Canis lupus familiaris: one gene and its partners. The protein of the gene in region 4 interacts with the protein of the main gene of each other region in a biochemical or structural test. Links are inferred from orthologs where the notes say so. Each region holds a gene or a part of one and is shown on either strand. Other genes may lie near its edges.

Region 1 (8,425 bases), on a different chromosome or scaffold from region 4:
TGAGCCAGCCAGGGTTGGCCTCTGCAGACGAGGCCATTGCACCCCAGCCAGCCAAGCTGTACACTGTGAGAGTCCAGCATTGTGGGCAGGCCACTCAAAGCTTATCCAGCCTCAGCTGGGCTTTCCAGATCACAGGAACCACCCACAGCCTACCCACGGAACTAAAGAAAAATTCTTTGTTGTTTTAAGTTACTGAGTTTGGGGGTACTTTCTTATGCAACAGAAACTTAATTTATACAAAGAACCTTCCCATGTTTTTAGATGGGAAGCCCCAGGATCATTAAGATAGCATCTCTGTTTACCGTTTTTTTTTTTTTTTTAATTTTTATTTATTTATGATAGTCACACACAGAGGGGGGGGGGGCAGACACACAGGCAGAGGGAGAAGCAGACTCCATGCACCGGGAGCCTGACGTGGGATTCAATCCCGGGTCTCCAGGATCGTGCCCTGGGCCAAAGGCAGGCGCCAAACCGCTGCGCCACCCAGGGATCCCTGTTTACCGGTTTTAATAAAAATCTGAACAGTTTTTTTTTTTTTTTCCTGAAACAGAACAAACTGATCCTAAAATTTGTTTTGGCCATATAAATACACAAGAATAGCAGAAAAAAAAAAAAGTTTTTTTCACAGAAAGACAAGCAGAGACTAGAATAAGTAGAAAGTTCACAACGAGTCCCAAAGACACATACGGTAGCAGGATGCAACAAAGTAGTATGACCGGCATTATATTGTTTTACAATAAACGAGCAGATCTCTAGGGGAAAAAAAAACAAAGTGAATCACCACCTCATGCCTTACACCAATATAAATTCCAGATTGGAACAAAGATTTACATGAAAAGAAGGAAAGCAGGAAGGTAGAGAGGGAGGGAAGGAAGAAGGAAGGAAGGAAAGGAAGGGGTAAGGGAGGGAGGGATCACAGAGCTAGTACCCAGATTACAATCGTCAAATCGCATTTTTCATCAAATGGCATCAGATTTACTAAAAAAAGGCTGATTTCAGGTTTCAAAGAAAAAAAAACAACAAACACACAAGAACAAAACCCACACACAGTATACAAAGATGGGCCAGGGAATCTTTTCCTTCAGATATTAAGACACTAACAAAACCTGCTATGACCCTATCAAAAAGACACAGGCTCCAACTTGCAGAGGACCTTGCTGTCCAAAGAAGGGACAATATAAGCGTCAATAAGGACAAGGATTACAGTAGCCTGAAACATCAAATTTATTTAAATCTGTGAGTTAAAAATGATAAAAATAATTGGTCACTATTATAGGATACTAGGGAACCAATGCATTTTGAAAACCAGTAAATATAGGTAAAACAAAGCAGGCATTTATCCTGCCCCTCCTTTACAAATTGTAGCACTAACTAATCAAGTAATAGATAAGTGTCTGTTTATAAAAATATTCTAGGTAATACAAAATGGTGCAATCACTATGGAGATCAATATGGGTTTTCTTAAAATATTTAAAAAATAGAACTACCATATGACCCAATAATTCTGAGTATTAATCCAAAAGAACTGAAATCTGGATCTCAAGAGATACTGGCAGTCCCATACTTACTGTAGCATTATTCATAATAGACAAGGTATGGAAACAACCTAAATGTCCTTTGACAGATGAATGGGTAAGGAAAATGTGGTATATACATACATATATGATAGAGTATTATTCAGCTTTAAAAAAAAGAAAATCTGCAACATGCATAAATGTGGATGAACCTTGAAGACAGTTTATAAATGAAATAGATGAAAAAGGAATAATAGAACTAGAACATCATTTTCAATCCCTAATAATTTAATGCATCTAAGCATAGTACCTCCAAAAGCCAGAAACCATTTGCCTTCTGACGGAATGCAATGCCAATTACGAAAAATACTTGAAAAGATAAAAGAGATTGCATCTTATGGCCACTTTAGATCCTCATACCAATTTATAGGAAAGATAAAGGAATATATTAAATTATGCAATGAGTATGTGATAAGAAAACCCAGATGTGGGACACCTGGGTGGCTCAGCAGTTGAGTCTGCCTTCAGCTCAGGTCATGATCCTGGGGTCTTGGGATCGAGTCCTGCATCAGGCTCCCTGTGAGGAGCCTGCTTCTCCCTCTGCCTAAGTCTCTTCCACTCTCTATGTCTATCTCATGAGAAGAAAAGAAAGAAAAGAAAAGAAAAGAAAAGAAAAGAAAGAAAAGAAAAGAAAAGAAAAGGAGAAAAGGAAGAAAAAGAAGAAAAAGGAAAAGAAGGAAAAGGAAAAGAAGGAAAAGAAAGAAAGAAAAAGAAAGAAAGAAAGAAAAGAAAGAAAAAAAAAGAAAGAAAAGAAAAGAAAAGAAAAGCCCAGATCTAGTAAATTATAGAATCCATTTTCTCTAACAAATCTCAAAGACAGAAACAAGCCTGTTGGGGGAGGGAGTAGAATAGGAGAACCCATAAACTAGGAGATTTAGGAAATTGATCCCAACTGCAATATACGTCGACTTTATTTAGATTCTGAGTCCAACAGAATGCAAAAAAGGTTATAATATGAAAACTGAAAATCTGAATATTTAAGAGTTATGTGATACTTAAAAGTATTCAATTTTTAGGTATCAAAATGGTATTGAGGTTATAATTTTATTTATTTATTTTTAATAAATCATCTCTTTAAGGTTTACTGATGAGAGAGAGAGAGAGCTAGCGCAAGCACACAGGCACAGGGTTGGGGAGGGGGGCAGTGGACAGAAGGAAAGAAACCTGAGCAGACTCCTCTCTCAGCAGGAGCCAGATGCAGGACTCAATCTCACGACCCTGAGATCACCACCCCACCTGAAACCAAGAGTCTGAGGCTCAACTGACTATGCCACCCAGGCACCCCTGTGGTTATATTTTTAAAGGACTACCCATATTTAGAAACATACACAAAAATATTTACTGATGAAGAATTGCATTTCTTCAGAAATAATGCAAGAGCAGAGGAATGGGATGGGGTCTGGACCAAATGAGTCAACGGTTGTTGAAGCTGGGTAATGGGCATTTAGGCTTCGTTATACTATTGTTTTGGAAATGTTTGACATTCCCCATAAGAGAAAAGGCTTTTTGGGAAACTATAAAAGGTACCAAAGGAAATCTTAGGAAAATTAAAAAAAATAATCCTGCAGTAGAAGAGGACTTCAAATGTGAAACAGAATCTTAATATTCTTAAAAGGGAGGGAGAGTGAAATTTCTCTTCACCCAAATAAAACATACCTGCTTTGCCTGGCAAAAGCCAATATAAATAAGATAAAAATAAATGACAAATGAGTAAAAAAAACACTTGCAATTCATATCACAGACTAAAGGTTAGTTCCCCTACTCTACAGAGTTAACTACAAATCAGTTAAAGGGGGAAAAAAAAAGATGGTTCTAAAAATTGTAAAACATAACTTCTAAAACTAAACAAATATTTTTTCACCTATCAGCATAGCAAGGAAACAAAAATGAAACTCATAACATCATGTTGATGAAGACGTAGGTTCAGGGAAATAGGTTATTCCTATAGTGCAGATGAAGTGAGAGGCAATTCTGGTAATGTCTGTCAGAATTACACACACATCCTCTCTTACTCAGAAATTCCACTTCTAGGAATTCATCCCCTAGAAATACTCACATGTTTGCAAAGTGACGCGCATCAAAGGGTATTCACTGCAGCACTGTTTTGTAGGGACTGGTACAAAATAGAGTGTCCGCAGGAAGCAGAGCACCATGCTCCAGCAAAAAAGAATGAGGGTTTGCTCATTTTTCAGAAGTGCAATTATCTCTAATGAATGCGTTAAGAAAATAAAGCAAAGTATACCTTTTGTGCAGAAAAGGGGGGAAATGCCTCTGCTTGTATGTACATAGAATATCTCTGTAAGGACAGTAAAAAAAACCAGTAACATAGCCCCAAGGAGAGAAGCCAGCTGGCTGGGGGAGGGGACAGATAAGAGAAGAATTTCCAGAATCATCCCCTTTGCACCATTTTAGTGTTGTTGTTTTAACTAATATAAATGTACCCCTGGTCAACAAAATTAAAAATTGAAATCATGGTTTTGTACCTCCACCCAGGAAGCTCAGAACCTGTTGAAAATACCACAATCTATTGGGGAATGCTTCCTTGGTTGTAACAAAACACAAAATGCTCCAAAGTGCAAGAGGACTGGGAGGCCAACAGAATCTGTACTAAAGGCTACATCTTTCTGGAGCTCTCATTCTGAGTACTGTCACTTTCATTGCACAAAAATATATATGTAATACATTTTACAACAACAAAAGCAACACAATTATGTTTAGAGAAGGAAAAGTTTAAAAATGTTCTCTCCCCCCCCCCCCGCCCCCTTGCAAAGGGCACAAAACTCTAACAGAGTTGAAAGTAGCCTTCAAACATCATGCATTTGCCACACATGTTTGCACACACAGAACCAATTAGAAACACCACGGTACCTATGCTCTTCTACGCTTCATGTTTTATTTAATCTTAGGATTGTTGCTATCTGCACATCTACCTTGTTCTCTAACACAGCTGCAAGGTTACTAACCCACTTTGCAACTTCTAAGGCAAAGCCCAAGACAACTTAGCTGTGGTTAGGAAGGTAACTTTACCCCCACCCTAAATTAAAATACTTTTATTGTTTTTTCCTGATTATAAAAGGACACATGTAACTAAAAGGGGGCAGAAAGTTGAAAAGCAAACAGTACCCCAAATTCTAAAGACAACGGTTGAAAACTTACATACTCTATTAACAAGGTCTGCCTGCCACCACCACCCCTGCCCCCCTGCCAACCCAGCACTGGGTGTTGATAATGGTTTTCACCCCCACCTCCCCAACACACACACACACACACACACACACACACACACACACACAAGGGAAAGGAAATGTAATCGTTGTCAACATGGTGACGATGAGCTGACTTTGGAGCCAGACCACGCAGGGTCAACTCTCTACTTTACCATTTCAACAGCTTTCTAAACTTGGCCAAATTCCTTCAAGACTGTCTCAAATTCCTCCAGAATAAGATAAGGATAACAGCATGTGCCTTGTGACACAAGTGATAAATGAAGTCATTAATGCGAAATGCTTAGAACAGTGACTGGCACAAAGGGCCCAGTAAATGTCAGTTATCACGACCTCTGGGTCACTTGAACATTATATATACATTCCGTGTTGGGCTAAAAGTTGTAGCATAACTGTCCTCTTTCCAGCCTACCAAGAGGTCTGAACTAGCCTTGGGGTTCAAGACAAAAAACTGAGTACTGGGTTACTTATTCCCTCAGAAGGTGTTTCTGTAATCTGTTATTTCACCAGGTCTCCTGAGAACCAGCCCCACCTCCCAGCAGAGTCTACGATCCCCTGCCCCCCACCCCTGTGTATATGTAGTATTGTGTGCAGGTGGGAAATGACAGCAGAGTGGAGGATAATCTGCAGGGAGTCCCTCAACCCCAATCTTTTGTAAAAATAATAGGATAATGAAAATTCAATAAGAAAACCAAGTCTAAGATAAACTGGCAAAAATCAAAAGTTGATCTGTAAATAATAACTTGATAAAAAAAAATACAATTGGGAGGACATTCCCAATAGCAACAAAACCAAACCACAAAGCCCAAGAGATAACCATGGGCATGATGAACCTTAGTGAAGAAAGGCACATCAATAAATCATATCACATTCCTGAGAACAAAGGGATAACCATAAAGATGTCAGTCTATATACTGCAGTTTCACCCAAAATCTCAAGGGGATATTTTGGGAGAAAGTACAAATAAACTCATCCCAAACATATTGCAACCACTGAAAAAAGGGCACCTGAAACATACTATGACTTCAGAAATACAGAATGACAATACCTTATTTTTAGCACTTCAAAGCCACAAACAAAAAAGGACCGTGTTAAAATCTTTCAACATTTCATCTAGCTCTTTAATACAAACTCAGCATAGTTTCTAAAATGGCACAAAGTACCTTGAAATATTTATTTTCCCCATGACAGTGAAAACTTTGTTCAGATTAAACTGTCCTGTAAGATAAATTCTTGTTTCAGCCATTAGCCCCTTTCAGTTAGTGCTAATAATCATGGTGGGCAAGTACTACTTAGTCTTTACTACACTGATTACTTTGTACTGAGAACTCCAACACTCCCACTTGGGGGGGGAAAATACATGATCTCATGAAAGTTAAGAGAAATAGTCATCACAAAGGAATCTGTCAAAATATTGTATTACATTCAGTGCCTTAAGTTCCTCACGTGAACTGAAATTTCCCCTAAATCTGTATTTCTTAAATACAAAGATTCCCAGAGCTCATTTGTGCACTGGGGAAAGGTATAGGAAAGAGGATCTGAGCCATCATGCAGTCCACTGTTATCTGGCGACCTTGCAGATAAACTGTGAAACACCAAGTATGTGCAGGATGACAAAAATGAATGTGTGCCCTAGAACTCCAGTATCATTGTCTTGGTATAACCTGAATCCACTGAGGGCCTTGGAAGGATTAAACTATTAAAAGTGGAATTAAAGAGGCTATAGTACAGACCAAATAAAACAGAGAAGATAAAGACTAGTACATTAAGTCACACACCAAATTTCAGTAGTTAAAATAACAAGATCAGAATCATAGTAGAAGGCCACAGTGGAGGAACTGGTACTAGATTTTCCCTCTTACCACATACAGCAAAAATAAAAAATAAAAAAAAAAATACTGGACAAAACACGTGAAACAACCGTTTCCAGATCTTGAGCAAAAGGGCAGAACAGGACAGTGAACTCCAAGAGAAGGGAAGCAGATGAAGTGAACCCCAGGATGGCCCCAACCTTCTGCCTGGAGGCACCTTCAGAACCAACCACTAAGAGAAGAATCCAAGCAGAGAGCCCCACGCAGAAAGCACAGGTCCTGCTAAGGTGAAGAGACAGTGAGCCTAGAACTCCAGGAGGCTCAGCAACAGAGGACAGACTCTCAGAAAGCAGCTACCCAAAGAAAAAGCTCCAGAAATCTGCACCAAGGTCTCCTTGAGCCTGCTGATGGATACTAAGATGCACACAATAGGGTAAAACTCTTTAAGACAAAGCAGACAACAATTACAGGGGAGCTCAGAAAATGCTGAGGTCAGGCAGGGCTGGAGTTGTGACAAGCCAGAGTGGAGAAGCTTCACTGAATACATCCAAAGCATTCATGGTAGCAACCCCAACAGGGCTGGGGTTGGGCTAAAAGCACCCTAGGATAAGATTACTGTGGACACTCCTCTTGCCCCCTCAAAACTTAGAATAAGTCTTGAAAAAACTGGACTGATTCACAAGTAATTTAAGTGCCCACCAAAGACACCTTAACAACCTTTAAAGGGAGAACACAAAATCCAGACACTCAGCAACATGCCAACACAATGTCCACTATCCAATAAAAAAATTAATAAAAAAAAAATTAATAGACAAGCCAAGAAAGAGAAAAATGTGACCCAGGACAAAAACATCCATCACTACAAACCACCAGGAAATGACAGACATAATAAAATTGGCAGACACTTTAGAACAGCTACTATAAATATGTTCAAGGACTTAAAGGAACATATGATGATGATGAGAAAAATGGATGTTATATAAAAAAAAGATTCCAATGGAATGACCAGAGCTGTAAAATGCAATTTCTGAAATTAAAAAGTTTACCAGATGGGCTCAATGGAAAATCAGACACTTCAGGAGAAAGGATCAGTGAACCTAAAGAAACAGCAACAGAAAGAAAAGAGGCTGACACAGGGGCAGGGCCTTTGTCTAACACAGGTGTGTTGGAATCCCAGAGGGGCAGGGAGGTAGTACAGAAATTTCTGAAGTAGTCATGGCAAGAATTTTCCAACCTGATGAAACCCACCAATTCAAGAACCCTTAGAATAACACCCCACATACACACACTAAAAAACCACACACACACAAAACAAATACACAAAGAGACGTCATAATCAAGTCGCTGAACACCAGCCATAGAGAAAAGTCCTGAAAGCAAACCACAGGGGGAAAAAAAGAGATACATGACATACAAAGAAACAGCAACTGAAGACCAGAAACAACAGGAGTCAACATCCAAGTGCTAAAAAGTAACAAAGACCATCAACCTAGGATTCTGTACACAGCAAAATATCCTTCAGAGATTATTGGTAAAATAAAGACATTTTCAGCCAAACAAAAGCCAAGAGCAACCAACAAACTGACACTACGAAAAATATTAAGGGAAGCTCTTTCATCAAAGGAGAATGACACAGAACGGAAACCTGAATACACACACACAGACCATAAACAAATGTCATATAAAAAATTCTCATTGTTTATTTTCCCTAAAAGAAAATGATTTTTAAAAGATGACTTTTATTTTATTATTATTATTTTTAAATATTTTGTTTATTTATTCATGAGAGACACAGAGAGAGAGAGGCAGAGACATA
Region 2 (7,673 bases), on a different chromosome or scaffold from region 4:
TTCTCAGAAGCTCAGGAAATAACATATTCTATAGGCATGGATCCCCACTCCCACCTCTCCACTCGCCACACACAGAGAAAAGAATGCTAGCTTTGGCCAATCTATATTTCCCTATTTCTTTCTCTTTAATCATGAAAAATAACAAAAGACTGTTTGAAATGGCATATTTTATTTATGCCTCTGAACATTATATCCTTTTGATATCGCCACTGATTATATCTCATGTAACTTCTAGAAGACTTCCATTCCCACCTCTTTTATCCTGTCTCCCAAATCACCCTCTTCCTAGGATTACCAAGGAGTTACTGGTGTCCAGGCTAGTTGCCTTCTTGCTAACAAAACTTCCCTTGGTGACAAAGAGGGACATCTGAGGTAGGAACGAGGTCTGGTTTGGCTGCATCAGAAGGCAACAGAGACTGAAATGAGATCACCAAAAAACTGACGCAAAATAAAGGTCCAGAGCCTTTGGTTCTGTCTTCAGCAATATTTATTGGAAACGGCGATGCTTCCTGTGGTAAGAGGTTTATACATTAAGCGGTAAGATTTGCCTTTCACTCCACATGACCCACTACCGCAGGTGGCACGTCCGAAGCAGCACATGAAACCTCGGAAGGAATCTGTACAGCTAGATAAATAGAACTCTGCATACCTAATGAGACTTCAGAACTGATACAAAAAAAAGAAAGAAAAAGAAAAAGAAGAAAAAGAAAAAGAAAAGAAAAAGAAAAAGAAAAGAAAAAGAAAGACAACCCCCAAAATAGAAAACCACTCATAAGCTTACACATAGCACTGTACATACAACATGAAGATGGAATAAAAGGACAGAAAGAAAAGTAATAATGACTGAGTTGGGAAAAACTTCTGCATATGCAGCCATACATCTTAAACTGCTAAGCACAAAAATTATCTTTATTTGGTCCTCATTGAGGGCAGAATCTGCATAAATGATGTTCGAAGAACACAAGGTGGAAGTGGAAAGGAAAGACAGTTACTGTTAACTTGGTCTATGAACTAGTGGAAAAATGGTTTCTTGTGTTTTTATCCTTGTGTCTCTGTGCCAAATGGACTCATGAAGCATGTAATTCATAAATAAATCTGAAGTGAAGGTATTTGTTCCCACTTCCCTGTACCTTCAGAAATATCCTAACTACATATGTGAATTCTCTGCAGCAGGAAATGCAAGCTTGGAAACCAGATGTTTTCCCATTTCCTCATAATGGAGAATCTCTTCTCTTCAGCCCCTCCTACCATATGCTGACTGCTAACTGTCTTACTTAGAAATATAGCGGAAGTCCCCCTCTGGCTTTATTAGCAGGGAGGGAAGAAAACTGGCTGTCCCTTAGGAAAAGGCATAAGTGGGAGGAAGAAAGGTGACTTTTTTCCAGAAAAGATTTTCAATTCACATTCAACATTTTCCTACCGATAGTATCAAGGGACCAACTCAGACCAGAAGACAAGTTGCTGGTGAGGGAGGCTTTCTTCCAAAATTCTGTGACTTGCATATTTGGGAGGGGACTATGGGAAAGCAGGACCTTTCTCCTATTGAAATGGAGAACCTGAGACCTTGAGATGGCCCCTGGGTGATAGATAATATCTTCAGTAGCATGGTTTTACTGTGATGTGGCTCATGGTCATATTCTAAGAAGCCACAGTCTCCTGAGAACCGTGTAAACAGTTCAGTGACTACTGGCTGGCCTCAGATGGTGTTTAAAAAGCACATGCCATGCCCGCCAGCCTAAGAAGATACCACCCATCACCATGACTCTTGTGGGATCACACAAGTCAACCAAAGATAACTCGGTGGGGCTTGATGACTTGGACCACTGCGGCCTGCATTTGGGATGTGTTGTAAGCAGCATTACCAAAGCAGTGGTTAAACTTAACTATCTGGGTCAAGAGGAGGTAAGCCTGCCAGCCTAACATCCTAATGGGGCAGGGCAACCAGAATCTCCACATAGTTGATGGGGAAGAAGCCTGACTGGCCATGAAGCATTCCCTCATACCAGTTCTCATCAATTTGGTTAGTGAGTGTGATGATATCACCCTCTTTAAAACCCAACTCCCCTTCATTTTCAGGTTCAAAGTCGTACAGAGCTCGGCAGCAGGGCTGATCCATTGGGGCACCTGGAAGTGAAAGCAGGAGAGAAGAATACAGAAAGACAAGGGGCATTTAACTCACAAGTCTACCACCTGCTTAACCTTTCCAGCCCGCCATCCTCCTTGCTTCCTCCCTCACTCCTCTTCCTGCTGAAGTTTCCTCTTGAGGCTAGTCCCCAGTCCACTGCATAGCATCTGCTCTTCACGAGTCTTTGGAAGTTTTCTCAGATTCCTGGAAGTGGCTGGATATGTGCTTCCATTTCCAGTATGAATAACGGCCTCATCTATGCTGGTGACACATGCAACACAGTCCACCAAGGTTTGCCTTCCTGACAATGTCCAGAGATGGGAGACCCAGTGACTTAAGGAATTTTGATGGAATTTAGGTTACTAGAACATGGTCAGAATGCTTTCAATGTTAGCATTTTAAAATCTCTGTACATGTGAAAGAGTCAGGTTCATTACATGGACAATGCTTATTAGCAACCTCAGAATAACTGTGCGTCCTCATTTTTCAAAAGTAAAGACTCCAGCCTCTGGAAAACTGCTGTAATGTGGTGAAAACAAAACAATATAAGACACTGGGTTCGAGTTCATACTCTGGGTGACTTTATACAAGGTACTTCCCTTTCAAGTTTCTTTGCCTAGCATTATAACTAATAGGATCTACGCCGTAATACTATTGTGGCTATCAAGTGAAATTACGTAAAAATTATATAACTTACTCTTTGTAAACTGTTGCATATATAAGGATGAGTACATGGGAGTTCTGGCACACAAAAATAACACGCTCTGCCTTCAGTAAGATAATGAGGAATGGAATTGTATCTTAAAAGTGATCTATTTTAAATGACCATCTATATTTAATAAAGCATGCATCCACATGGGCATGTAAACTCAGACAAGTACATATTGCCCCCATGTCTGATGACTTTAAATTAAAATCTATTTTCTTTTTTTACTTTAAGAAAGCAGAAAATGACCAAGTCTCCAAAAGAAGAGTAAAATATGTGGTTGGTTTCTGAATAGGGAGAAGCAAACTAATCCCAATTTACATGATTAGTCCTCGGAGCCAGCTAACTTGTAAGAGCCACTGCTGATTATACCCTACCCTGGGCAGCTTCAAGCAACTAGTTAGGTGAACACAAAGGGTGGAGAGTGCCAACTACCACCACAGAGCTCACGATTTTATTTCCTGGTCTCCAGAGAGCATTTCATAAAACATTTCCTACTACAAACATCAAGCAGTGGGTCACAGGGAAAATAGGAGACACTCTTATTTCTTTGAAGTCCATGCCCAGTGTAAGACAGTTTCCACTTCTTCAACCAAACAAATTGTTAAGGTTGAAAATGTCTCAAGCACAAGCTTTTCCTTAATCTGTATTATACGGGGTAGAGAGCAATGGTGTCAACTAAAAAAACATATTATTGGGTATACATCAATATTATTGATATTGATAGAAAATAAATTTTAGCTTTTACTATACCAACCTCAGTTGCCAGGGTACAGTGAACTGGTTGAAGGTGGAGGAAGGAGGGAAAGCTAGCTGATGTTGATATTCAAAATATATTGTCTATACGTACAGTCACCCATAGGCTCCAGTGACTTAAGAAATCCAGTTTGATATGTTCCTGGAGTTGCTGTCTATGGGTTATATGTGAGTGCATGTGGGCACACCCTGCCAGGGCATTCACCCTCAAGCAGGCTGGAACACAGGGGAAACAGAAAAGAAAGATGACACCCCTGACACCTATGGTAAATTAAAACCACAAAGAGAGGTCAAAATCAATTGTGTTACTTAGAAGGTTAATGGGTGCTGATAATGGTGAGAGAAAAAGGGACATTTCTAGAGGAGAGAAGGGGGAAAAGGAGGCAAAGAAATGATCAATGGGAAAATAAGGATGGAGTGCTTTAAAAGAGCTTCTACATGACAAAACCATCCTGTAAGAAATGTATCACTGTATAGTTTCTTGTGCAGCCAGCCAGGCTGCACCTAGAATTTCTGGAAAAGTATCGACGGCATGTGCCCACAGCCTGTGTAATGGGGTCTGCAGGTCTCAGCAACTTACCTGCAGGTTTGGGTGTGCCCGTGTGGGAGAGGCCCCCATTGGGCTGAGTACTGTCTCCAGTTGTAAACTCCAGGCTCATTCGCGGTTTAGGCTGATATTCCCTTCTAGGTTGAGATGAAGCTTGTCTTATTCTGTGTTAAAAAGACAAGGAAGGGGGGAATAGGAGCATGGAGCCAATTAAGAAGCAAACAGAAAAGCAATTAACATCCAGGAAAGCTCCTAATGCAAAGCCACCTTCTCTGTGTATGTCTCTACATTTCTGTGATGTCCCTCTGTGGTCAGATCCTTGCCCTCTTCATCCTGTCTCCATCCCTCACCTCTTCCTTATTTATTCAGAGCTCACTTTGCAAATGTGCACTCTTGAACATGAAGACGCATACGACACCATTCTTGCCCTCAAGCAGCTTATAGTTGGAAGGGAGACAGAAGGTAAACTGAGGATCGTAAACCATAAACCGTGGTGAGTGTTGTTATGGAGACACACAGAATGCTACGGGGACATGGGGATGGAGATGGGGAGTGGGGAGGAGTCTACCTGCCCACAGAAAGGCCTATGGAGAGGGAGAAAAGACAGCTTAGAGTCATTTCCAGATGAACAGTTCTTTCCAGAAGAAAGAGTTTAAGAGCTTGAGAAGGTCTGGAAGGAGGAAATATCATGTGTCCTGAGAACAGTGAGCAGTTTAAGATGCAAGAAGTGGGAAAGAAATGAGGGAAGATAGGAGGAAAGTGGAAAGGTATGGCCAACTAATGTACTCCACGCACTCCAACTACCATTCACAGTCTCATGTTCATGAAGTAGAGTGTCCAGCAGATTTGCAAGGATGGGGAGAGGTTAAAATATGGTGATTACAGAATGATACGGACTTTTAACATGTTTCAGAGGAAAAAGAGAAAATGGCCTTTTTTGCTCAACAGATGTCATAAAGGCAAATAATAATATCTCTTTAGTATGTTGAAGTGCATGGTTTAAATCTTTCTAGAAGCTTCAGAGTGGGACACACATTCCCACAAGGGTGCATCGACCAAAGATGCACAAAGTGACATGTACTACAGTGTAGGGCCTCTGCCTACAGGTGTCAGGCAGTGGCCTGCAACTATGGGGAGGCCTAATCACAAGGAACACATCTATGCCCGGCTGCAGGGTGCTTCTGAGGAGGAGGAACAGGCATAGGAAAGCTGTCTCTCTGATGCTGGAGGACCTGCTCACCATTCAGGGAAATGGTGTGAAAAGATAACTGGCTTTCAAATAGGCTATGCTTGCCTGGCAAACCCCAGTTGTACCACTGTGTGACCTGAGGCTAGTTACTTTATCTCGCTGGGCCTTTCCACCTGTAGGTAAGGCTAATCATACTTAGTTTATAGGACTGTTAGATGACTGATGATGGTAAGCCTTCAGTGCCTACAGAGAATATCTGCTCAGTAAATCACATGCATTATCCTTGGTAGCATCCTAGTTTCCCAATCTGTGGCAGCCAACACACAATCCAAGTACTGAACTCTCATAAACACAAGAATAAATTCCATGGAACAATGTAAAACAAAGCACAAGACACAATAACATCAAAACAAACAATCCACAAGGTGCCAATGTAGGGTCAGCAGGAATTTTGGCAGAAGTTTTTCTTCAAATTTGCTGTTATTTCTGTTTCTTTACCCATAATTCCAGAGGAAGAAAATAGGAATATAAAATACAGGAACTGAAATACCTTTCTTCCAGTCTGACGGTGACTTGCTGCAGGATCTGGACGGCCTGCTTGTGGTACTCCAGCTGGGCTTGGACAAGCGCAGACAGTTGGCTCACCTGTTCGATCTGCAGGCCAATAGGGGGGAATCACACCTTAGTTACCAGGTCACCATCCTTAGGCAACTACTACTGCCCCAACACATATGACAGAGCTTCCCCTGATGCACAGCTCAGAGCTTGATTTTGTAGATTCCACACCAGTTAAGGATAAAAAGCATCCATATGCTTGAAAATGCCAGTACCATGAGGAGAAGCCACATTATCAGGAATCCTTCTAAAGATCACACACCTCTCACTGAACAATCTCATTCTTGGCTACAAATTTCCAGGTAGGATTTGGCTAATTTTATTGATTTCTTATAGGAAAAAAGGGATACTGACCAAAGGAGTCTTTGCTCCCTATGCTTTCCATGCTGTCAATATATTAGTGTTGTTAATAAAGAAGTGAATATTGATTTTTCACTTCAGGCAGCATGGAGGCAGTTTGATAGCATGGAAAATCTTTTGTCCCCACTCAGCCTCATCTGTAATGTAAAGGGGTTCGGTCAAGTGACATACTGGGTTCATTTCAGTTCTAGTCTTCTAGGTATCCTTAGTTACTCTTCATTTTGTGTCTTAGGTTGTTATCTCACTGAATATTGTCCTCCACGTCGGCAAAGGCAATGCTGTCCCATGAGTTTTGGGGGTGGAATGGGGCCCTATTTGTAGGCAAGGAGCACTGTGATTCAGGTCATCTCTGGTGCCTATAGCATTCCTCTTCAGTAGGTAGGTGGGATACCAGTTGTTCTACCTAAACACAAACCTATAGTCTCTAGGTGGTGGGAAAGTCCAGATACATCCAACAGATCTTCCCTGTCAGTGCAAAGCAGTTAAGTGATAAGCACATAAAGGCTCTGTAAACACCTTGGAAGAAGGTGGTCATCAACTGATAGGGCCAGAGGTGTGACTGAGCAAGAACTTCAAAACCAGTTAGCAGACTTTATTACATGAGTGGTCAGAAGTTCTCATGACTATGATGCTGAAATAACTCAAAAGAATATAACTTCTAAAGCCACAAATGATAATTTAGCACACTAGAGGGGGTGCCTGGGTGGCTCAGTCAGTTAAGCATCAGACTCTTGATTTTGGCTCAGGTCATAAACTCGGGGTCATGAGATCGAGCCTCATGCTGGACTCCACACTGGGCATGGAGCCTGCTTAAGTTTCTCTTTCTCTTTCTTTCTCCCTCTGCCCCTCTGTCTTCCCTAAAATTATTATTAATAATAATGTACTGGAAATATACAAGCAGCTTTTAAACTACATTATCTATGCCCAATACAGTACTTATGCTATAATTATCAATCTCAGTTGAAATTAGTTTTTGAAAGAAAGTATCACCTTTACTTCAAAATATAGAACACCTTAACCTACACTGAACCCTCAATTCTAAATGTATTTTAGGTGATATTTTTTTATAATCTGAAATCAGTCTGACCTATATTTTGACAAAGTACTTTAAGCAACTGAACTTTTATATGGATCACCAGAAACATTCTTCATCTTCTGACTATTGGTAATTCTTTAAGATCATTAGTAGAGAAATATTTAATTAAATCAAACCATGGAAACACAGGGGAAAAAAACATACCACTTCTTGATCTACTTTAGAATTTAATTTTATTTTAAAGAAATAGCTATCTACCAAAGTTCTCACAATAAGATATAAACATTTTAAATTACATAATCCTTTAATATAATCTTGAGCCTCAAATGGCAAGATTAA
Region 3 (8,227 bases), on a different chromosome or scaffold from region 4:
TTTTCAAATTTCACTAGTCTTCTCTGTAACTCTAATCCTGTTTTTCATGCAGGGGCACTTCAGGAAAACCACTACATTGGAAAGGATAATAAGCTGCTTTGAGAGACGAATGCTAGATAGTAGACAAGGCTTATTTGTGAGCTAACTTATATGACTAACTTCTCAACAAGAGGGACTCAGGCCTATAAACTGATACGCAGCAGAGAACCTCCAGGTTATTCCAAAAATGAAATCAGGAATATAAAAATACCCTAATGCCTATAAATCATGTCCAAGAAACAGGCAGTCCAGGATCGTGGCTGAACATTTGGGCTCTGGACTTACACATCTGGGTGGCCACTTGCTGGCTCTTTAAAGTTCCTTAACTGCTGGTACTTCAGTTTCCAAGGCATACTCATCTAAAAAAGGACAATTTTGTGAAGACTGAGTGAGGTAGTGCTTATCAAATGATGCAAAAGGACTTGCTAAATGTTAGCTATCACTATTAGCAGTGCATGAATTTTCTGACTTTCCAGATCATACTCCTGAACACATCACATTAACATCCCTTTCTTCTTCCTAAAAATAATAATTCACTAGGTTTGTCACTGGTTAACTCATTCCAAAAAAAGGGAGGGAAGAAAACAGAACTCTCAACCACCACTGTAAGGATGTATATTGCTACAACCTTTCTAAATGACAACATGTATCAAAAATCTTAAACTTTGCATGCACTGTACTTTGATCTTGCAAATCCACTTCTAGAAACTTATCCTACAGAAAAAAAAAAAATCTCCCAAGTATACACAGAGATGCATGTAGGAGAAGAGTCACTGCGGAGTTTTAACAGCGGGAGAAAAAAGAAAATTAATGTCTGATAAAAAAAATAGGTTAAATGATCACAGACATAAAATGGAATCTTATTCAGTTATTAAACTATTACAACTGACGATATAGCCATGGAAAGATTCATGATATAAGAGGTTAAGCCAAACAAAGTTACAAAATAATCATGTATAGCAGGGCCCATATTTGTTACCAAAAATTGTATATAAAAAGCCACATGCACCCACAAAAAAAGAGGGTTTGAAGAAATAGGTACTGAGGTAGTGGATATAGAAGTATTTTGAAGTTTTTACTTTTCGCTATTTCGATTTCTTTCTACCATAAAGACGCAATTCCTTAAAATACAAGGGAAATGAACTGATTAGCAATTTGCTTCTAAAATATACAACAAATCTAAAAGCGATGACAAGATTTATCTTTATTTAGAAAAATACCTATTTACACAATATTTGATGGTTTATTACTTTTAATGGTTAGTTATCCAATTAAAGATTAGATATCCAATTAAAAAGTTAGTTATCCAATTAAAAATTAGTATCAAGAAATTAGCAAGAGACTTCTTTTTTTCAAGAGATGGATTTCTACCATCAAGTGCAGCAGTACAAAAATTAAATGGATTAGTTTGAGTTTTATATATTTTTATATACTCGAACTCCTTATCATCATAATTACCATTTAGTACATGAATATATCTCAAGAATTTATGTAAACATTTGAAGTACTTAAACTTAACCTACTATTATTATTCCCATTCAGCTGAAAAAACTGAGACATTGAAAGGTTAAGGGCCAGATCAAAGTCACAGATTGTGTGTGGTCAAACCCAATACCCTGTAGAAATTTTACTCCTAACTATTCAGCACCCTCAACTATATAACAGAAACTGTTCTTTATGGGGTACTACACTGGATTCTGAAAAGAAAGACTGAAGGTCATACTTTATTAGGATGAAAAATGAAATTGGAAAACATACCAATTTTCTGTATTTTCTGTAAACCAATTTTTACAGCAGTATGTTGGGTTTATCATAGCATACCAGTGGCATTTTGAGATAGTGTTAAATAGTAACCCACCACTACATGGGGACCTAAATTTACGTTTTTAGTCTCTAAACAATATTTTGATAGAAGCCTTCTTTTCAGCTTAATCACCTTGTGCCTTCTATTCTTGGGAAAGGTTCTCCCTTTTCAGAGCCAAACAAACTTACATAAATGACTGGGCACAGTACATGTAGCTCCTAATTTATAAAATCCGTGACTAAGTAATAATATTAATTTTACAAGAAAAGGTTTTAAAGTGTGGCCTCATTGCAACCTTATCCACTCATAAATATTTAATGGAGCTCCTCCAGGCACTATTCTAGGCACTGGAGATAGAATGATGAGCCAAAATCTCTGCTCTTCTGAAACATATATTTTAGGTGCATTATATATCTGAAAGTCGTAGTCCATTTTTTAAAATTTTTTTTTTAATTTTTATTTATTTATGATAGTCACAGAGAGAGAGAGAGGCAGAGACACAGGCAGAGGGAGAAGCAGGCTCCATGCACCGGGAGCCTGATGTGGGATTCGATCCCGGGTCTCCAGGATCGTGCCCTGGGCCAAAGGCAGGCGCCAAACCACTGCGCCACCCAGGGATCCCCGTAGTCCATTTTTTATTAGCAGCCTAAGGTATAAAACTTAGTCTGCTACTTAAAATCTGCTATCCACTTCAGGGGACGGTCTTAGGAGAAGGAAAGCACAGGGCCAGCTGTTCTCCAACTTTTCTATTCCAAGAGAAATTCCTGGAGAACTTGTTTAAAAATCGGATTCCAGGGTCCCATCTCCAGGAATCGGATTCTGAAGTAAGGTGACAAAAAAAAAAAAAAAAAAAAAAAACCTGTATTTTTAACAAGAACCTCACTTAATGCTGATCTAAATGATCTGAGGTCCAGACTTTGAGAAACCCACCAGTAAGTGGAGCCATTCAGAAGAAAATGATCATTCCAAAGAGACTAGTGCTATGGCAGTGAAACCTGAACCAAGTAACATAAACCCAACCCTCACGTAATTAATTCTGTGTCATTCACAAATCTAGCAAATTAAAAAGATGAGTAAGAATGGAGCAATTTACCAGCACCTCCCCCTTAACATCTTATGGGATATTTGAATTTTCCTCAAACTAGGCATTTGCTGAAAAGATGAACTTGAGTTCTACCAACAGAAGAGATAAGCATTAAGAAAAAGGAAATTTCTAGTAAATTGAAAAAAAAAATGCTAAGAGGGACAAACATTTCAGGGAACTAACTTGCTACTACTCATTTTATGCCCTATTTCACAATGCTTAGTATCTGAACAATCCACAGGGTTCCAAAGTACATCAAAAATTTGTTCATTTCCTCTCCTACTCAGGCAGAATAATAATCATAGAGTTTTGTGAAGGTGCCATGTGCCTCGGCAACTTCAACACATTCTTAGATAAAGAAACGCCATTTAAAAGAAAATTCTATCAGAAATGCTTTTTAAATAGTTTTAATGCCACCACTAAATTAGTGTCCCTTCATTTCCAATTTAGATTACCTAAAAAAGTTCCTGGGTTCTTTACCAACCTCCTACAGAAAAAAAAAAAAAAAAAAAAAAAAATTTCCCCTGGATATTACAAGGACGTACATTTTTAGTTATAAAACAAACACCATGAGTGCAACATAAATGTGTCATGTAAACTAGAAGGGAAAAAAAAAAATCTTTTAAAGAAAAAACCCAGCATTTTGTTTGCAGAGATAAACAGGTAGAAATCCTAACCTTGAAGAGAGAAATTTAAGCTTCTGCAACCTTACATCAGCTAAAAATAAAGGTATCCAGGCAAATACATCCCTCCCATTTTAGGGGTTGAGAGTGGCACTTCGCGAACCAGCTGGCCTGCTGGGTCCTGGCCCCAGTTCCTAACCTCAGATCCTGTCCACTGCCTAATGCATGAGATCTCTGAGCCTGTGTGTTCTTCATCCGTTCAAAGGGATTAGTGACATTGCCTCTCTCCGTCAACGGAATTGAGATTTTTTTTTTCCCAGATGCATTTGTTTTTATTATCTGTCCTTTTTTACTGTGCTTGCTTCTATCATTTGCGCGTTTGACCACGGAAACGGCGAGAGCGGGATGCCCGGGGATAAGCACAAAGAGACGGCATCTGTCCGGAGTGCGCATATATTTAAAATTTCAGGCTGGTGCTGTCTTCAGAATAGCAGTGATGATGACAAAGTTCTAAGGGAAACTTTCATATTAAGGGGCTATCAGAAATCTCCACCGCCTCCCACTCAGCGGGGCAATCAAAAAAATAATAATAATTAATTAATTAATTCTGAAAAGACGCGAATTTATTTCTTCAAAAGCAAAGCCCGTCTCCAGTCCGAAATCACAACAAAAGATGCCCGTCGGGAATGTTATCTGCGAAGTTGTTTTCTAATCCCGAGGCAGACGGAGAAGTCAAGGAAGGTGCACCCCATGGGCCGGGTTCCTTTTCCTGCGGATCCCGGTCCCAGGTCGTCGTTGGGGCGAGCAGGGACCGCAGCGGTGGCCCCGCGGGGTCCGCACCGCGAGGCGGCGGCCGGGAGGAGCGGCGGACCCCGGGGACGCGCGCTCGCGGCGGAGGGGGACCCCCGGCGGGGCGCCTCGGGGCCGAGCGGCATTGACTGCCCTTCACCGGCGCGCGACGGAGACGAGGGGATGAGCCGGGGGCTCGAGGCCCGCGGGCGCCGGGTCCCCGGGAGGCTCGGCCCGGACGCCCCCTCGCCCCCGCGGACGGAGGCGCCCCGCTCGGCCGGCCGGGGCTGCGGACGCGCGTTCAGCCCGCAGCCCGTGCAGCCGCCGCCACCCGCTCGGCCCGCCGCGGCGTCCCGGCCTCCCCGCGCCGGCCACCGGCCGCCCCACCGGCCGCCCCGCCGCCGCCCCCGGGAGGATGGGAAGGACGACGCGCAGGGGCGGCGGGTGCCGCGCCTCCCGGGCGAAGGCTGCAGGGCGGCCCGAGGGACGCGCGCCCCGGGCGGCCATCGCGCCGACCCCCGCCCCCGCCCCCGCCCCCGCCGCCGCCGCCCCCGCCGCCCGGTCCAGCCTGCTCCTCACCTCATCTCCGGGCGGGTCCGCGCTGCCGCCCCAGGGACAAATCAGTGCAGCTCACTCGCCGCGGGGAGGGACGCAGGAGCCGCAGCCCCGCACACCATCCCCGCCCGCCCGTGCGCCCGTGCGCCCCGGAGCCCGCTCGGGATTCTCCCTCGCGAGCCGCCGTACTACGGAGCAACCAAGCTGCGCTCCCTCCCCTCTCCTCCGCTCCTCTCTACCTCCTTCGCTCCCTCCCTCGCTCCCTCGCTCCCACCTATCTCCTCATCTCCCTCCGCCGCCTCTCCCGCCCCCGTCCCGGCCACCATCTCCGCCCACGGATGGGTGGGAGCCGGCACTCGCCAATCGCAAGAAGGCGCTCGCGCCTCCTCACCGCCCCCTGCCGCTGCCCCCGCCCACCGCGGGAACGAGGCGGGGGCAACTAAAAAAAAAATGGAAGAGCACGGAGTGACAGCCACGTGAACCAATCAGCGAGCGCGCAAAGGGGGTTGGTGGGCGGGCGCTTGTCACTTCTCCCCGCCCCCTTCCCAGAAGGCGTAACCTTCTGGACTGGGATTTCCCTGACCCGCCTTCTGGAGCTGCACCGGTTTGGGTGCATCCGTCCGTTGTCCTGCGAGGCACTTATTAAGCTGTATCCACCTAAGTCAATTACAAAAGGTTTTAAGGGAGAGAGCAACGTGGAGGCGGAAAAAGAGGCGGGTCACTGCCCAAGGAAGGCGGTAGGGCAAACGGTTGGAATGAGGAAGGGTGTGGTCTTTAATAGAAATTTGCATAAAACGGAACCCATCCGTGAGACTACAACTTCGCCCTTTTATTGGTAGCCCCGGGGCGTCTCGTCCGGGCGGGGCATTCTGGGAGATGTAGTTCTGCGTTCGGTTGCTATGGCGTTCTCCACAGCCTCCGGTCCAGAAGTGACGAGAGGCCTGACCAATGGGAGCAGCGCCTGGGCCAGCGGGGGCGGGCCCTCTGCAGTAGGACTCCAAGGTGGCGGTGGCGAAGACGCAGGCCGTTGGGGCGCCTCGGAGGCAGGTGAGTCCCCGGACCTGGATTCTGTGTCTTTGGAAGCGGGGCCTTGGACTTTGGACGCCTCGCGGAACCGTGCAGCCCTGGGGTGAGTGGTGGGTCGCGTTGCACCCCAACCCCAGACCCTCTTGGGCCCAGGCCTAGCTTAGCTGAGGCCGCCGAGGGGCGGGAAAGACTTGACCATTTCCTGGTCCTTACAGGTTTTGATTGTGGGTTTTATCTCCATTTGCATCTCTCTTTACATTTATAGAAGCCAGAGTCGGGAAGTTCCCTTCCCCTGAATCTCCCAGGTTGGATATTTTTTGCACACCCACCCCTGCTTTCTTTTTATTCCTATAATTTAAGTTAGTGTTTCATTCTCTCATACTCCTCTGCCACCGCTTTTTTTCCTGCTTCACTTTGCTTATTCAGTGAAGCAAAGGTATTTGCATTTACGTGATTATGCGGCCAGATATGCCCTCTTAAGATGAACAGCGGAAAACTGGAGCAACGCGTGAGAATCGCCTCAGAATCATGTACGAGCGCAGATGCTGATTCTGCAGGTCCGGGCGGGGCCTGAGACTCTGCATTTCCCACCAGCTCCCCAGGCTGCTCGTCCAAGGTCTGAGTAGCGGGGTGTTCAACTCAGCTCTGCTCAATACAAAGCGAGGCACTTAATTTTAAATTTTCTGGTAGCCACATTAAAAAAAAAAGTGAAAAGAAGCACGTGAAGCTAATTTTCACAATGTTTCGTTTAACCCAATATATCCAAAATTTATCATTTCTACCCATAATCAAATATTTTTAAATTGAGATATTATACATTCGTCTGTTTATTAATTAAAAAAGAATAAGCTGTACCCCGACGTGGAGCTTGAGCTCAGCAACTCCAGGATTTAGATGCACCTGCTCTATGGATGGAGCCAGCCAGGCGTGGCAATTCTTTTTTTTTTTTTTTTTTTTTTAATCATCTTTGAAATCTAACGTGTGTTTTACCTTGACACCACATCTCAGTTCTGACTAGACACAATTCACATGTTCTTTAGCCACCTGTGGACTAGTGGCCGCTGTTATTGGACCCGGCAGGTCCAGATGATAGAGGTGCCCCCTGCAGAAATTAAAAGGTGTTAAAGCTCAAAGAGTTGCATGTCACCAAACCCTTTGCTGCTCTGTGAGATGGGCCTGGGAACTATTTTAGAGAGGTTCTCTGCCCAAATTGCAGAAATAATAGTGAAAATAGCCAGCACGTATTGAATGCTTATTTTGTGCCAGGTGTTGTACTGAATGCTTTGCTTGTGTTGTTTAATCTTTAAAACAACTGTTGGGGGCAGCCCGGGTGGCTCAGCGGTTTAGCGCCGCCTTCAGCCCAGGGTGTGATCCTGGAAACCCAGGATTGAGTCCCACGTTGGAGTCCCTGCATGGAGCCTGCTTCTCCCTCTGCCAGTGTCTCTGCCTCTCTCTCTGTGTCTCTCATGAATAAATAAATAAAATCTTAAAAAAGTAAAAAATAAGTCAAACAACCGTTGGAGGTAACTACCATGCTTTGTAGAGGTGAAACCTAAGGCCTGGACAATTAAAATTGAATAGCCTAAAGCCATTTGGCCAGTAAATAGAAGAACCAGAATTCAAACTCAGGTCAGTTTTGACTTCTAAATCCTGTCAACCACAACAGTGTATGATTATTGTTTTTTGATCAATAATTTCACTTCATTGATGTCTCTGCTCTAGTTTATAGCAGATGAAATGTTCAGAGTTGAAACAGAGAGGGTTCCCCCATACAAGGTTAATTTACCTACCACTTGGGGTGACATATTTTGGTAGTTTTACAAACACTCCATGCCATATTTTTTTTTCTTTGTTTTTTAAGTAAGCTCTAGGCCAACATGGGGCTTGAATTCAGGACCCAACAATCAAGAGCCACATGCTCTAGGAGCACCTTGATGGCTCAGTTGTTTGAGCATCTGACTTTTGATTTTGGCTGAGGTGGTGGTCTTGGAGAAGTGGGATTGAGACCCGCTTGGGCCTCTGTGCTCAGTACAGAGTCTGCTTGTCCCACTCCACTTGCTTCACCCCCTGCTTGGGCTCTCTCCCTAGCTAGCTCTAAAGTAAATAAATGAAGTCTTAAAAAAAAAAAAAAGTCATATGCTCTACCAACTGAGCCATCTCCATGCTGTATTATAAATAATAAAAGATCACTTTCCCTGTACTATATGCTGAGCAGTAATGTGTCTTGATTCATTGGTGTACCTCTGTGAAGAAAAAGGATGAGAAAGCTTGGAAGTTGTTAAAATATTTCGCCATGGAGTCACAGTG
Region 4 (7,673 bases):
GTGTGCAGCCTGCCCTGAAAGGGGGCTGCTGCAATCAAGGGATCTGCCCCTACTCGGCCAGCAGCACGAAGCCCAGTGCGCTAGCAGGGATGTCCAGCTCGCATAGGCACACATGGCTGATGCCCACAAGATGCCGGGGCAGCTGGGTTTAGCTGCCAGTGAACAGGGTTCTTCTCCCTGAACACCCGGTGGGAGGGCAGGTGCAGAATGTCTCAGATCCCAAGAACCAATTTGCCCACAGAAGTAAACAGCAGGGGATCCCTGGGTGACTCAGCGGTTTAGTGCCTGCCTTTGGCCCAGGGTGTGATCCTGGGGTCCTGGGATCCAGTCCCACATCAGGCTCCCTGCATGGAGCCTACTTCTCCCTCTGCCTGTGTCTCTGTCTCTCATGAATAAATAAATAAATCTTTTTTTTTTTTTTAATTTATTCATGATAGTCACACACACACACACAGAGAGAGAGAGAGAGAGAGAGGCAGAGAGAGAAGCAGGCTCCATGCACCGGGAGCCTGACGTGGGATTTGATCCCGGGTCTCCAGGATCGCGCCCTGGGCCAAAGGCAGGCGCCAAACCGCTGCGCCACCCAGGGATCCCGGATAAATAAATAAATCTTAAAAACAAAAAAAAGTAAACAGCACTAATTAAGTTTGAGCATAAAAGCATTCTCACCCCTGTACCCTCTACCGTGCAGTACTGCATAGCGGGGGGTGCGCGGGGAGGGGGAAAGCAGGGTTATGACAGGCATTGCAGGTGGTGTTCTTCTGGTGTGTCCAGGGGACAAGCCACATGTGTAGCACCGTCTACCTTAATAGCTGAGTTTCTGGATCCCACCCTAGCCAAGTGCCCAGGGTTCCTTGCAGTCCAGAAACCAGGAGTACAAAGGCAGTACAAAAAAAATCTCGAGAGAGAACCTGGGATCGTGGGGACACATATTCCCTACCTCATAGCAGCACAGCTGTGATGAATGCCCCAGAGCTCTGAATTGGGACAGTGAGCACCAACTCAGGGGGAGAATTCCAAGAGAGAGCAGAAAGAGCTGACTGACACAGGGCTAAGCTCCCACTCCTGTTCCCCATGTCTGGCCTCTCCACAGCCACCAAAGGGCACCTGTGATTCCTCCATCAGGCCATCCCTCCTCTGCTCAGAACTCTCCATGGCTCCCATCTTACTCAGAGCAAAAGCCTAATTTCTCCCTGTGGCCCACAAACACCTGAATGATCGGTTCTGTCCCCTCCCTGCCCTCCCCTCCTCCACTCTGTCCCTCACTCATTCTGTCATAGAGCCTCCTCCAACACTGTAGGGCAGTCCTGCCTCAGGGCTTTTGCACTGGCTGGGCCCTATCCTTGACCTCTTCAGGTCTTTGCCTGACTCACTGTCTCAGGGCAGCCTTCTTGACCACTCTATTTTAAATGGCACCCCTCAGGCTCATGCCAGCACCCTAGCCCCTTCCCCACGTTAATATTTTGCCATTTAATGCACTACATGGGGATCCCTGGGTGGCGCAGCGGTTTGGCACCTGCCTTTGGCCCAGGGCGCGATCCTGGAGACCCAGGATCGAATCCCACATCGGGCTCCCGGTGCATGGAGCCTGCTTCTCTCTCTGCCTGCGTCTCTGCCTCTCTCTCTCTCTCTCTCTCTGTGACTATCATAAATAAATAAAAAATTTAAAAAATTAATGCACTACATGTTTTCTTTCTTTCTTTCTTTCTTTTTTTTTTTTTTTTTACATGTTTTCTTATTTGCTTATTTTCTGTCCCATCCCTCCCCCTTCCCCTTTCTAAGCACATACGGCAGGGCTGGCTGTCTGCTCCATTCACTGTGGGGACCCCAGCGCTCAGGACAGACCTGGCACACAGGAGGCTCTCCACAAATGTTAGGCTAAGTGAACAGAGAGACAAATGAGGATTGCCACCCAGCCTGGACCTGGGACCCTGTGGCTGGGCAGAGGCTCTGGAGAGCTGGGTTGGGCTTTCAGGGGAACACATACTGCAACAGGGCTTTGGTTTTGCGGGTGGGGTCATCGGGCCGGAAGTTCTTGTACTCCTCCACCTCCTTCTCGAGGGACAGCAGCTGGCTCTGCAGCTTGCTCCGCAAGGCTGGCAGGGACTCCCTGATGTGGTTGGTCAGTTGCTGCAGGAGGAGAGAGGCCAGAGAGCAGAGGTTAGCAGGCGAGATGCTGCAAAGGGGCTGCTAACCTGTTGCACCTGCAAAGGGCTGATGCTGAGATGCTCCCCCCTGAGCCCAGCACTGCCCCCAGTCTCAAATAGAAAGCAAGAGAAATATCCAGCTGGAGTCCCACTAGTGCGTGGGGCAAGGAGAGCTGGCATGTGCTGCCCACAGCAGCAAGATGCCGTGAGCGGCCCACTGTGCTTTCGTAGGGTGGACAACCAGGGCGTCCGTGACACAGGGTACACACGACACATATGCTGACTCAAAACAGCCTCCCACAAGTGCTCTGGCGAGACACCCAGGAGGCCACCGAAGGACCGATGCACTGACGGACTGGCCAGCAGGGGACGGTCCACATGGGCCACGGAACAACAGGCAGATGTAGAGACATGGAGACAGACCCTATAGACTAAGACAGAATCAGCTCCCCAATGAAAGGAACGTACATAGCATTTGCTCCCTTCTGTGAAAGACTGGGAGAAAGTAAGAATGCTATTTTTAGTTGCACAAAGAGAGAGAGAAGCTCCACAGGAAACAAATGCAGGAGGAGGCCAGAACGGAGCAGGTGAATGGGAAGGGGACCGCTCTCTGTGGCCACCCCCCTCCTCTCTAGCTGTGGAGTCAGGTGGATTCGTTCATTATTCACAAACTGTAAAAGGAAGCAGCACTGCAGAAAATGTTAGAGAATAAGTCTCAGGATAGCTGGTGAGAGAAAAAGTGAGAGAGAATAGTAAATATACTGCTGTTAAGGCAGGGAAAGAAGAAAGGGAAGGCAAGATAAAGGGAAGGGGACAGGGAGAAAGATTAGGAGGAGGGAGGTGGGGAGGAGGGAGGATGGGGAGGAGGGAGAAGGATGGGGAGAAGGCAGAGGGAGGAAATGGGGAGGAGGGAGAGGAAGGCAGTGAGGGAGCATGATACAGATACAGTGGCCTCTCCAGGCCCTGAGTATCTCTACAAGGAAGCCCAGTTGCAGTGACTCTGGCCACCTCTAGAGAAGGGATCCACCACCAGATGGGAGGAATTGGAATATTCACTATATTTGGACTGTACGACTTTATCTTTTACTATATAACAGAGAGAGAAGGAGGGACAGAGGGAACAAAACAGAAGCTTATAAATGCAGCTAATACTCTAAGAGTGAAAAGGAGCACTTGCTGCCATCTCTCCTGCAACAGAGAATTTATAAAGTAACCATCAAGCTAGAAAAAAGGTGTAAGGGAGCCTCACACTCCAGCTCGCCACACTCTTATATGAATCTGACCTCATCCCAGTGGGTGGCCCACAGACCCCTCTGTGGGAGCTACAGGCTTTTAAGGGGACGTGGAGGCTACATGCTCTGCAGCCCTTCACTCCAGCATCCAACAGCATCCTAGAGCACTTAGAGCACCTCATTATGTGGGGTGGAGGGTGGGCACAGCTCTAGGAAGTGCCATGAGGCAGAGCCAGGCCCGTGGAAAAGCCAGCTAGGCCCCTTGCGTGCTTGCCAGCCCTCAGAGGAGGCCCATGCCACCTGCAGGGCAGTTTTACTTCCCTTCCTCTCCGTCCACCCAGGCCAACCGCTTCCTCCCACTGGACACTTACTGTCCTCTTTGCTCCCCTCAGCTGCCTTCTCTGCCTCCCTGCTCTGCACCAGCTTTCCCTGGTTGCCCCCCTCCCCCACTACCTAACGCTTGATTGTGAATTTATCTGGGGACCCATTTCGAGTCTGTACTCCCACATTAGAAATACGTCTTCCAGGGATCCCTGGGTGGCTCAGCGGTTTAGCGCCTGCCTTTGGCCCAGGGCGTGATCCTGGAGTCCCGGGATCGAGTCCCGCATCAGGCTCCCTGCATGGAGCCTGCTTCTCCCTCTGCATGTGTCTCTGTCTCTCTCTGTGTCTCTCATGAATAAATAAATAAAATCTTAAAAAAAATTTTTTAGAAATACGCCTTCCCCAAGGATGGAGCTCTGCTCTCCCGTTGCCACTGTGCCCCCATGGACTGCCTAAAGGAAGGACATCCACTCTCCCTCTGAAGCCCTCCACCTTCCAGGAAGCTGCCATAAAGTATCCAGAGGGAACATCTTGCAACTCAGATGGACAAAACAGGACCGGCCTTAAGGACAGACACTGCCTGTTACAGTGTGGCTACATAACTGCCACCATCAGGGATTTGACTCTCCAGAGAAATCCCCACATGAGCAAAATGATGTTATTAACATTAACAGCAACCTTTACAGACCAGGAAGATGAGAAACCATCTCGGTCACTCTCTAAAGAGCCTGGCTGGGATCCCTGGGTGGCGCAGCGGTTTAGCGCCTGCCTTTGGCCCAGGGCGCGATCCTGGAGACCCGGGATCGAATCCCACATCAGGCTCCCGGTGCATGGAGCCTGCTTCTCCCTCTGCCTATGTCTCTGCCTCTCTCTCTCTCTGTGTGACTATCATAAATAAATGAAAAAAAAAAAAAATTAAAGAGACTGGCTGGACAGCCTGCAACTCATGTGTTCAGAAACTATTACACAGCCACAGAAAAGAATGAGGAAGGGTTCCTTTCTATATGCCCAGTGCTCCAAGAGATGGTGCTGACCTGGTGTGTGTGTGTGTGTGTGTGTGTGTGTGTGTGGCATCCATGACTATGTCATCATTTATGGTAAGAAAGGGAGAACTGTGATTCTCGAAGGTCCTTTTTGCTTCTATGGACAGAAAATGCAGACAAGGCGAATAACAGTGCCCTGCAGGTGGAAGGGGGGCAGATGGGGGCGCCTCATTGCAGGCTCGTTGTTTATGAACCCTGTGAATTTATTCCCTGTAAAGGAGCGCCTGAGTGGCTCAGTGGTTGAGCGTCTGCCTTTGGTTCAGGTAGTGGTCCCAGGGTCCTGGGATCGAGCCCTGTGTCAGGCTCCCTGCTCAGTGAGGGAAGCCTGCTTCTCCCTCTCCCTCTGCTGCTTCCCTTGCTTGTGATCTGTCAGATAAATAAATAAAATCTTAAAAAAAAAAAAAAAAGAATAGTAGGAAAACAATGCTTACAGTGCAGTGGCTGCCACTGGATGCCTGCTGTGCTTCACACGGCAGGTGGACTGGGTACTTGGTGGATACCACAGCCCTAGGGGGCAGGGATGGTGACAGTTCCCAGATGATACACAGGGGACAAAGGCTCAGAGGCTGAGCTGGGCTTTGGACCCCCAGAGGTCAGGCCCCACAGCTCTCCTACCGAGGTCCTGTCCGGTCCTCCTGGCCACCCTGCTTTAGTGCAGGCCAGGCAGTTATCACCCAGGTCACCGATATCAGGAACTGCATGAAAACTTCTGGGTACGTTGATTAGATAATTCCAAGTATTTAATTATAATTGAAATAATAGCAACAATAACGGCAATGTAATAAAAGCCCTGCTAGCGACTCTATGAACACCCACCCTTCACCAGGCCCTGAATCCAGTGTGGACTGAACCCATTTTGCTGAAACATGTGCCGGCTCTAGACCAAGGCCAGTATTGTGGTGGGCCGCACCTGCACAAAACCCTGGCCGTACCTGATTCAGGGTCTTCTGCAGGTGCGGGGTGCCCATGCGGTCGGCCATGTGCCGGTAGGCTGGGTGGGAGAGGAAGAACTTCCTCTCGGCCGCCAGGGCCGCACGGATGTCCTTCTTGCCCTCGATGTCCTTCTGGCTGCGGTTCACCACGCCAATGTAGCCTGCGGGGAGAGAGGGTCAGGGCAGGGGCAGTGCCAGGTGAGCCGAAATGCACAGACGGCCACTGTGGCCCAGGCAGGCACAGACACGGACCCTGTCCCAGGAATCACTCACAGACCAGGCCACAAGCCAAACCCGTTCCTTGGAAAGGCAGAAAATATAAATGCACGGTGTGCTCCTGAAAAGTAACATAAGTGTTTGGAGAAAGGAGGGGTGTGAGACCCAGTGGGAGGTGGGGGGGCAGAGGAAAGCTCTGGAGAAGACAAAACCCACAAACTGAGCTTTAGAGACAAGAAAATCATCTCAAAAAAGAAGGGCAAGAGGGACCAGCTCATCTTGCCAGGTATTAAAAACCTGTTCTTAAGCTGTTACGTTCGAAAGGGTTGGATACATTGGGGCCTGTATGTCCGGAGAGATGAATGGAATAGAACAGAACAAGTCTAAACGACACACGACGGACAGGTAGCAAATGATGGCTAATGCTTTGGAGCCAACAAGAGGGAAGCTCAGTCACTCAATGGCCACGGTGGGCAAAGAAACAAAGTTGGCTGCCTGCCCAAAGTAATCCTCCAGGGTTCATGGATCTACACATACACTGTGACACTGGAAGTACTTAAAGACAACATGGGTGCTTTCTAGAGATGACTATATTTGGGTTAAAAATTTTCTGAATCAGACCCAAGAAAATGGTAGCTATGGCTACATGAGAAATGGGACCTGCATCTGGGGCTGGGCAACCTCTTTCACAAATGGCTGTAAGTACCACTCTTGAGTTCTTTAATCTAGAAAATAATATTTAAGATAAAAATGCTAGTGTAAAAAAAGATCTGCCATATTTGGATATGAAACGATTGGAAGAGAAGAGAAAGGGGATGGTGTTCAAAAAGTCAGTACAGGGGCACCTGGGTGGCTCAGTTGGTTGAGTGTCCAGCTCTTGATCTCAGCTCAGGTCTTGCTCTCAGGGTTGTGCGTTTAAGCCCTGTGTTGGGCTCCATACTGGACATGGAGCCTACTTGAAAAAAAAAAAAAAAAAAAAAGAAAAGAAAAAGAAAAAAAGCCAGAAGAGTCGCAGGTTCCTGAGTGTGGATGCAAGGCGCCCAGCAGTCCAGGTATGTGAGGTGTCACGGACACCAAGAACTCAGCCGACTGGCCAACCCATGGCAATAAATAGTTGTTCTTCCTCGCTGTTGACATGATGCAAGTCGGAGATGGATTCGGGAGAGGTGGCAAAACTCCCAAAGGGATGCAGACAGGCATTTCTACCAGTTCTCTCAGTGGGGGGCGATCAAGGGTTCCCTTGGGGAGGAGGGGAGTGGTGCCTACCAGCCATTTATTCTGCAACTCTTGTGCAGGACTGCTGACCTTTCATTCTCTCCATATTGGCCATTATGCCCATTTGGCAGATAAGGGGAAACAACCAAGGTGAGGCCACAGAGTGCGGCTCCACGAGAACCCAGATGTGAACCCACACTGGTAAGGCCAAAACTCACTGCCATCCATACAACAGTACGCAGGACAACAGCGGAGAGCAGAGACCGTGGTCTGGCTGGGATTGTGGGTCCTAAAAGTTTAGGAGTTCTGAGTCTTTTGTAAGTCAAGAAAAAGGATGCAGCTGGAGAGAGTCCAAAAGCCACAGGACAAGAGGAGAACATGGAGGGAGGGAGGCCCAAGGGCACAAGTCGGGAGCTGGTGTACAGAGGAAGGGCTGACTTTCTTGGAAACAGACAGGAAGGCAGAGGAGGGCAGGCGCAGACAATGGTGAGTGGCAGGCGAGGAAGGAAGCTGAGGAGGCCTGTGTCATCCAGCCACCCAGCACCAATGCAGAGCCCAGACAGCATC

Evidence for each region.
Region 1: the proteins of DNM2 (region 4) and SNX9 form a complex in vitro, tested with the Homo sapiens proteins (2 studies listed by BioGRID and IntAct, with this or other methods). The link is inferred for Canis lupus familiaris from reciprocal best matches to the Homo sapiens genes DNM2 and SNX9.
Region 2: the proteins of DNM2 (region 4) and SH3GL2 interact in a biophysical measurement, tested with the Homo sapiens proteins (2 studies listed by BioGRID and IntAct, with this or other methods). The link is inferred for Canis lupus familiaris from reciprocal best matches to the Homo sapiens genes DNM2 and SH3GL2.
Region 3: the proteins of DNM2 (region 4) and ITSN1 form a complex in vitro, tested with the Homo sapiens proteins (2 studies listed by BioGRID and IntAct, with this or other methods). The link is inferred for Canis lupus familiaris from reciprocal best matches to the Homo sapiens genes DNM2 and ITSN1.

What each region holds. Positions count from the first base shown.
Region 1 is NC_049222.1:47,865,997-47,874,421, reverse strand, and holds the start of SNX9 (sorting nexin-9), read right to left. Parts: upstream 5,086-8,425; 5' UTR 4,957-5,085; coding exon 4,954-4,956; intron 1-4,953. UniProt on the Homo sapiens protein: Involved in endocytosis and intracellular vesicle trafficking, both during interphase and at the end of mitosis. Required for efficient progress through mitosis and cytokinesis. Required for normal formation of the cleavage furrow at the end of mitosis.
Region 2 is NC_049232.1:37,821,406-37,829,078, reverse strand, and holds the end of SH3GL2 (endophilin-A1), read right to left. Parts: intron 5,978-7,673; coding exon 5,874-5,977; intron 4,299-5,873; coding exon 4,168-4,298; intron 2,125-4,167; coding exon 1,925-2,124; 3' UTR 470-1,924; downstream 1-469. UniProt on the Homo sapiens protein: Implicated in synaptic vesicle endocytosis. May recruit other proteins to membranes with high curvature. Required for BDNF-dependent dendrite outgrowth.
Region 3 is NC_049252.1:28,828,372-28,836,598, reverse strand, and holds the start of ITSN1 (intersectin-1), read right to left. Parts: upstream 5,152-8,227; 5' UTR 4,919-5,151; intron 1-4,918. UniProt on the Homo sapiens protein: Adapter protein that provides a link between the endocytic membrane traffic and the actin assembly machinery. Acts as a guanine nucleotide exchange factor (GEF) for CDC42, and thereby stimulates actin nucleation mediated by WASL and the ARP2/3 complex.
Region 4 is NC_049241.1:50,828,719-50,836,391, forward strand, and holds part of DNM2 (dynamin-2), read right to left. Parts: intron 5,837-7,673; coding exon 5,676-5,836; intron 2,131-5,675; coding exon 1,988-2,130; intron 1-1,987. UniProt on the Homo sapiens protein: Catalyzes the hydrolysis of GTP and utilizes this energy to mediate vesicle scission at plasma membrane during endocytosis and filament remodeling at many actin structures during organization of the actin cytoskeleton.